Arabidopsis thaliana: one gene and its partner. The protein of the gene in region 1 purifies or fractionates together with the protein of each later gene. This does not show direct contact. Each region holds a gene or a part of one and is shown in the gene's direction. Other genes may lie near its edges.

Region 1 (3,927 bases):
TTACTTGTTAAGATTCCAATTTGTGTGCTCATCGTAAAATTATCAAAAGAATAGCATCGTTTGTTTAACCTAATCAGATTTATCCCCACGTAACCTAGTAACAAATACAGTACTATTGTTCTATAATCAGATTTTTTTTTGGATTAGTTTCTTGTCTCTTTGATTTATGAGAACCGACTTGAATGTATTTATTTTATTTTTGATGATTGAAGGAGATGAGTTCCTCTAGTGAATCTCATCTAGCCACCGCCAAAACAGCTCTCACAGCGGTTGCATCAGTTGCTGCAGCCGCAATACTAGCTCGATCAGTGGTTCAAGATTACATGCCAAACGAGGTTCATGAATATATCTCTCACGGCTTTCGCAGATTCTTCAGCTACTTCTCTTATCAGATGACAGCTGTAATAGAAGAATTTGGAGGTTTTGAACACAACCAAGTGTTTGAAGCTGCAGAGGCTTATCTCTCCACCAAGATATCTAATTCCACTAGAAGAATCAAAGTTAACAAACTTGAGAAACAGAGCAATTATAGTGTTACTGTTGAACGTGATGAGGAAGTTGTTGATATTTTTGATGGCGTCAAGCTTAGTTGGATCCTTGTATGTCGCCATGTCGATAAAAAGGATTTTCGTAACCCGAGAGATCTCAACTCCACTTTGAAATCAGAAGTGCGTAGTTACGAGCTTAGTTTCCGAAAGAAGTTCAAGAACATGGTTCTTGAATCTTATTTACCGTTTGTTGTGGAACAAGCTGCTTCTATTAAACAAAAGTTTAAAACATTGAAGATCTTCACCGTTGATTCTTACTCCGTGGAGTGGACCTCTGTGACTCTAGATCATCCTTCCACGTTTCGCACTCTCGCTCTGGATCCCGAGGTGAAGAAAAACTTGGTGGAGGATCTTGATCGATTCGTGCAGCGGAAAGGCTTTTACGGGAGAGTTGGAAAAGCTTGGAAGAGAGGTTATTTGTTGTATGGTCCTCCCGGTACTGGAAAATCAAGCTTGATCGCAGCTATAGCTAATCATCTTAACTTCGATATCTATGACTTAGACTTGACATCACTTAACAACAATGCTGAGCTACGGAGGTTACTTATGTCTACTGCAAATCGTTCCATTCTAGTTGTGGAAGATATAGATTGTTCAATCGAGTTAAAAGATCGGTCTACTGATCAAGAAAACAACGATCCGTTACATAAAACGGTGATGCATTTTGATTCACTATCAGTTATGTTGTTATGTGATCTTTTGCTTATTAGCATTACTAATGTTTTGGTTAGTCATTTTCAGGTCACACTCTCTGGTCTATTGAATTTTGTAGACGGACTATGGTCAAGTTGTGGTAACGAGCGGATTATAGTGTTTACGACTAACTACAGAGAAAAATTGGATCCAGCATTGTTGAGGCCAGGACGTATGGACATGCACATTCACATGTCGTATTGCACACCAGCTGCTTTTAAGGTTTTGGCTTCGAATTATCTCGAGATTCAAGATCATATACTTTTCGAGCAGATTGAAGAATTTATCCGAGAAATTGAAGTTACACCAGCAGAAGTAGCTGAACAACTGATGAGGAGTGACTCTGTGGATAAAGTACTCCAAGGACTTGTTGAGTTCTTAAAAGCCAAGAAGCAAATAGATAATTCAAAAGCTTAGAAGAAATTTAGTTCTTTTATTTGTTTCTTTGTTAAACACTATCATGCAATTATTGGTTATAAAATGTTACAGAAAGTGAAATCATTTTTTTTTTTCCTAAGTGAAATGCGGATATTGTTTTATGAGGTCAGAACATGTCTAAACTCAATGATAAGATTCTAAAGTAGATTGAGACAAGTTTCGTAGTCGGCAGCAGTAACCAAGAAAACGAGTAAGGTTGACTCTTGACTTGTTAAACCATTGACTTCAATTTCGATAAAGTCTCTATGTAAGCTCATTTTTCTGAAACAAGTTTTGCTAAAAAAATCCAAAGATCTGAAGCTTCAGATCCTTCTCGGCTAAGGCTAAGTCACAACCTTGTAAGTTTACTTTACTTTGGTTAGATTTGTTTCAATGTTCTAGGATTCTACATGTTTCTTGAGAAGATATGGATTAGTTAAAGAATAATCCAATCTTTTGGTTATTGAGATTCTATAGTCGTTGGTTGATTGATTTTTGGAAAGTTCAATCTAGTGATGATACACATAACCGATTGAATTATTGCTTGGTTATAGTTTACCAATTAGAGATATTTCTTGAAGTTGCAGGGTCTGAGTAAATGGTGGACGCTGTTGTAACAGTGTTTTTAGAGAAAACCTTGAACATCCTCGAAGAAAAAGGCCGAACCGTATCGGACTACCGAAAACAGTTGGAAGATTTGCAAAGCGAATTGAAATATATGCAGTCTTTTCTCAAGGATGCAGAGAGGCAGAAGAGAACTAATGAAACGTTGCGTACTCTTGTTGCGGATTTACGAGAACTGGTTTACGAAGCTGAGGATATACTTGTGGATTGTCAGCTCGCGGATGGTGATGATGGGAACGAGCAAAGGTCATCAAATGCGTGGCTTTCGCGGCTTCATCCTGCCCGGGTTCCGTTGCAGTACAAGAAAAGCAAACGTTTGCAAGAGATCAATGAGAGGATAACGAAAATAAAGAGTCAAGTAGAGCCTTATTTCGAATTCATAACGCCGAGTAATGTTGGAAGAGATAATGGAACTGATCGGTGGAGCTCTCCGGTGTATGATCATACTCAGGTGGTTGGTTTGGAAGGAGATAAAAGAAAAATCAAGGAGTGGCTCTTTCGATCAAACGACAGCCAGCTTTTGATAATGGCCTTTGTTGGGATGGGAGGGCTAGGTAAAACTACAATCGCTCAAGAAGTGTTCAATGACAAAGAGATCGAACATCGTTTCGAAAGAAGGATATGGGTGTCTGTGTCCCAGACTTTTACTGAAGAACAGATCATGAGAAGCATATTGAGGAACTTGGGGGACGCGAGTGTTGGAGATGATATTGGAACATTGCTGAGAAAAATCCAGCAGTATCTTTTGGGGAAAAGGTACTTGATAGTTATGGACGATGTATGGGACAAGAATTTGAGCTGGTGGGACAAGATCTACCAAGGACTGCCTAGAGGACAAGGAGGTAGCGTTATCGTGACCACAAGGTCGGAATCTGTAGCGAAAAGGGTGCAAGCGAGAGACGACAAGACTCACCGTCCAGAGCTCCTTAGTCCTGATAACAGTTGGCTGCTGTTTTGTAATGTGGCATTTGCAGCAAATGACGGTACTTGTGAGCGTCCCGAGCTAGAGGATGTTGGCAAGGAGATTGTAACGAAATGCAAAGGTTTGCCTTTGACAATCAAAGCGGTTGGTGGGTTACTTCTGTGCAAAGACCATGTCTATCATGAATGGAGACGAATTGCAGAGCATTTTCAGGATGAGCTAAGAGGAAACACTTCTGAAACTGACAATGTTATGTCTTCTCTGCAGTTGAGCTACGATGAACTCCCTTCCCACCTTAAGTCGTGCATTCTCACGCTTTCGCTCTATCCAGAAGACTGTGTTATACCAAAACAACAACTAGTACATGGATGGATCGGAGAAGGTTTTGTCATGTGGAGAAACGGAAGATCTGCAACTGAATCTGGAGAAGACTGCTTTTCCGGGCTCACAAACAGGTGTCTAATAGAAGTTGTAGACAAAACCTATAGCGGAACCATCATCACTTGCAAGATTCATGACATGGTTCGTGATTTGGTGATCGATATAGCCAAGAAGGATTCGTTCTCTAACCCGGAAGGCCTCAACTGTCGTCACCTTGGGATTAGTGGAAACTTTGATGAGAAGCAGATCAAAGTTAACCATAAGCTGAGAGGCGTAGTGTCAACAACTAAGACAGGTGAAGTGAACAAGCTCAACTCAGACTTAGCTAAGAAATTCACAGAC
Region 2 (3,927 bases), on another chromosome or scaffold:
ATAGAAGACAAGGAAGATAAGCTCATCAATATTTTTAGGACCCTCGTGTGAATGTGACTCACATGGGAATGCCTTCACTCTCTTTCCCTCCATGCCTATCCTTTTCTAGATACACTTCTCCACTTTGATCTCATAAATTTCAAAATTACTATAATTAATAGGCCATTATAATATGTAAATTATAATTTTCGTGTTTGTGTTTAAATGATGTAAGCTTAAGGAGTAATTAGAGATGACTTCTTAAATCATCTGATTTAATGCTTTTTATAGCTAATGTGAAAAATTGATTGTGTGCGGAGAAATTGAAATTGATAGATACAAAAGAGACTCGTTTTATAGCAGTTTGAGTGAAATAAAAAGACTTTGGGTATGGGCTTGGGCTTGGATTTCATTTTGGGTCCATCAAATTTTTCATCAACTAACCTATAAAAGGAAAAGTGAGCTTAACTCTTTTCTATAATTTCCCTAAACCCTGACACATGATATATTAGAGATAAGGGTAAATTTTCCTCTTTGTTCTTCGGTTGTTTCTTTTTGTCTCTCTGTTCCTGAGCGACTGAGCATATATATTTATTGTGATTTTGTTTCTCACTTCACATATACGCACTCTGCAGATATATGGTAATGAAATTGTTTCTCGTGCATTAAAAACATATCTATTCTCTCTTACTTATTATCTTCATCTCTTTCTAATACGTGGAATCCTCTCTTACTTATTATCTTTATGTCTCTGATTTGTGTTTTCTTGAGTTTTTTTTAATGATTTTGATGATTTTAGAGAAGTTCATATATTTTTGTAAAATCCATTCAAATTTCACCTTAAACTATGAGATTTAGATTTCTGTATTTTTAACTAAGGAAATCCTCTCAAATCTTCCAAAATCATTAAAATTCAAATCCACAAATTATGGATTTTGAAATCATTAGTTCAATAACACTGAATTTCATGAAACTTTTTAAAATCATTATAATATAGGATTTATAAATTCTACACAAATCTCTTAAAATTCCACTTTCAATACATCCCCTAAATTCTCTATTTAATTTCCAATTTTCTAGTATCTAATTCCTATTTTTTATTGGACAAAGTATGTATGCATAATGAAGATTTTCATATCTAGTACTTTTCTCCGATTGTTGGATTTTCTAAATGTATTTCTAATTGTTGGAACTTTCTTGTCACTAATTTTTTTTGATACTTGTGACAGAGACGTGGCTCAACATTACGCGAACGAAAACGTTGACACTAGATACACTAAGATATACGTGGGAGGTCTGCCTTGGGAAACAAGAAACGAAGGTTTGAGAAGTTACTTCGAACAATTTGGAGATATTATACATGTTAATATGGTTTGCGATAGAGAAACGGGACGATCAGAGGGTTATGGTTTTGTCACGTTTAGAGATGCTGAATCTGCAACGAGAGCTTGCCAGAATCCAAAACCGGTCATAGACGGACGAGAGGCCAAGTGCAATCTTGCTTATATTGGTGGTAGGGTTAACAATAACCAAAACGCCCAACAACAACAAGTACTACCTATGTACCCAACTGGGACCAGTTTCCACCACCCCAATATCATACCTACACACCTTATGGTTATTGGACACCCCATGGCCCTTACTACGTGAACCAACCTGGTCCTTACTACTTGAACCAACCTGGCTTTTGACTTATGAGCCATCTCTTTCGCTGTTGTCTGAGACACTACTTGTTGTTCTATTTTCTGATTTCAGGCTGTTTAGTCTGCATGATTCTAATCTAATTATGTTTACTTTCTTATATACATTGCATCTCTTCTGTTCCAAACAGAGAACAAGAATCTAATTTTTCAAGCCCTGTTTATTCTAGAATGTTTCTAAATTTTGCCTTATAAGCATTTATATAGACATTGGCATAGTAAATAGTAAATACTGTGGATTCTTTTGGCTTTTGAATGTGAACTTGACTTTTTAAAGTGTTGAATTCTGAGACAGCCCAACCTTTTTTGAAGCTTCTTTCACACTTAAATCATTTTCAACCTCATAAAAAAACCTACAAGATCTATTAAAATATAAAAATCAAAATCTACAGATTTATCATCTTTATGATCAACAATGGGAAACTGTCTAAAGCCTCTCAAAGAACAACCTCCTTCAGCTTCTCCCAAGCCTCTCACCATCCCTTCAAGTTCAGGTACATCTCCGTTTTCAAATGCACTTTCTACTTTTGTTTACATATATAATAATATCTTAATACGTCTTATAAATGTAAAAAGTGGAGCCAGTAAAGGAGAATTTGAAAGAGTTTAGATTTGCCGAATTGAACAAGGCAACAAAGAGATTCAGAAAATACATGGTCATAAAAGGTAATGATAATGGGTTTACTCGAACATTCTACGAAGGCTGCATCAATGAGACAACCTTTGCTCCATCAAGAACTGGAATCACTGTTTCTGTCATGGAATGTTATCAAGATAATTCGCAGACTCTACAAGACTGGAAGGTAACCAAAATCTTACGCAACTACTATTTCTATCTCTTTGATCTTATTTATGTATGTTTTGTTTAGTTACTTATGCATCTGATGGGTACAAAAACTATTGAGTTGCAGGAAGAAGTGAAGTCTCTTGGACGTATTTCTCATCCCAATTTAGTCAAACTTTTAGGCTATTGTTGTGAAGAAAACAAATCATTCTTAGTTTTCGAATACTTGCATAAAGGAAGTTTGAACCGTTACATTTTCGGAAGTTAAGATCTCTTCTAATCAATGGGTCCATTTATAAAATCAGTATACTCAATATTGCCTTACAGTTTCATGTTTTCTCAACAGAAGAAGAAGAAGCATTACCGTGGGAAACACGGGTCAAGATAGCCATAGGAGCAGCTCAAAGTATTGCATTTCTACATTGGGTCAAGAACAGCGCGCTATATCGAGAACTCAGAATGTATAACATTTTGCTTGACGAGGTAAATGACTTTAGAACACTCTTCTTGCTGTTCTTATTGTTTATAACCTTACAATAATGCCTGAACTTATAAATTTCATCAGCACTACAACACAAAATTGTTCTATCTTGGATCAAAGAAACTATGTTTGTTAGAAGAAAGCGTGACGACTGCATTCATAGGAAGAACTGTATATATACCTCCTGAATATGTAATCTCAGGTACACCAAAATCTTAAGTTTTGTTAACGAACACTCTAATTAATCTTTCGTGGTTCGATGTTTAAGACAGTTGTGTAATGTTCTTAGGTCATTTGGGAACGAAGAGTGATGTGTATACATTTGGTGTGATATTGTTAGAGATTTTAACTGGTTTGAAAGCTTCAGATGGTAAAAAGAATGAGAACATGCAAAGCTTACATGTATGGACTAAACCTTTCTTGTCTGATCAATCTAAAATCCGGGAAATCATCGATCCTCGACTTGGGAACGATTATCCTGTGAATGCAGCGACACAAATGGGAAAACTCATCAAAAGATGCATCAAGTTGGACACAAGGAAACGACCATCGATGCAACAAGTCTTTGATGGTTTGAATGATATTGCAGAGATTAAAGATTAATGTGTAAGAGTTAATGAGATTTGAAGCTGAACAAGTTTGGAATAAAAGTTTGAAACAAAGAAGATAAAATCTCCTTCTATGTCGCATCAACTCTTTTCTTTCATTCTATAAATGAGTCCTAGAAAAATTTCCACAAACTTGCCTTATATGGATACAGACATACCCAAACTTGCCTTCTATGTCTTTTGCTTTGTTTTGCCTGAATGAGAAATTGAAAATTTCAAAGGGTTGAATTCTGAGGCCAGTCTAAACCTATTTTTTAGTAGCTTCTTTAATAAGTTACAAACTCTTATTAAAACCCTATAAAGATTTGTTAAAATCTTGAAGCCAGAAATCTACATATCTTTCTAATCATCTTCTTCTTTCCTTCAATGGGAAAC

Evidence for each region.
Region 2: the proteins of ZAR1 (region 1) and AT5G11410 purify together in Arabidopsis thaliana (affinity purification with western blotting, with the first as the bait; one study listed by BioGRID). This does not show direct contact.

The regions. Positions count from the first base shown.
Region 1 is NC_003074.8:18,933,871-18,937,797, forward strand, and holds the start of ZAR1 (HOPZ-ACTIVATED RESISTANCE 1), read left to right. Parts: upstream 1-1,803; 5' UTR 1,804-2,017; exon of another isoform or gene 2,018-2,245; 5' UTR 2,246-2,256; coding exon 2,257-3,927. Other genes in the region: AT3G50940 (P-loop containing nucleoside triphosphate hydrolases superfamily protein), read left to right, coding at 216-1,202, 1,290-1,658.
Region 2 is NC_003076.8:3,638,051-3,641,977, reverse strand, and holds AT5G11410 (Protein kinase superfamily protein), read left to right. Parts: upstream 1-2,012; 5' UTR 2,013-2,094; coding exon 2,095-2,173; intron 2,174-2,255; coding exon 2,256-2,482; exon of another isoform or gene 2,483-2,554; coding exon of another isoform or gene 2,555-2,590; coding exon 2,591-2,726; intron 2,727-2,809; coding exon 2,810-2,946; intron 2,947-3,028; coding exon 3,029-3,146; intron 3,147-3,233; coding exon 3,234-3,547; 3' UTR 3,548-3,787; downstream 3,788-3,927. Other genes in the region: AT5G11412 (RNA-binding (RRM/RBD/RNP motifs) family protein), read left to right, coding at 1,102-1,629; AT5G11400 (Protein kinase superfamily protein), read left to right, coding at 3,919-3,927. UniProt on the Arabidopsis thaliana protein: Together with SZE1 and ZED1, required for effector-triggered immunity (e.g. Pseudomonas syringae type III effector HopZ1a) via the activation of ZAR1, thus being essential for resistance against P. syringae pv. tomato DC3000 expressing HopZ1a.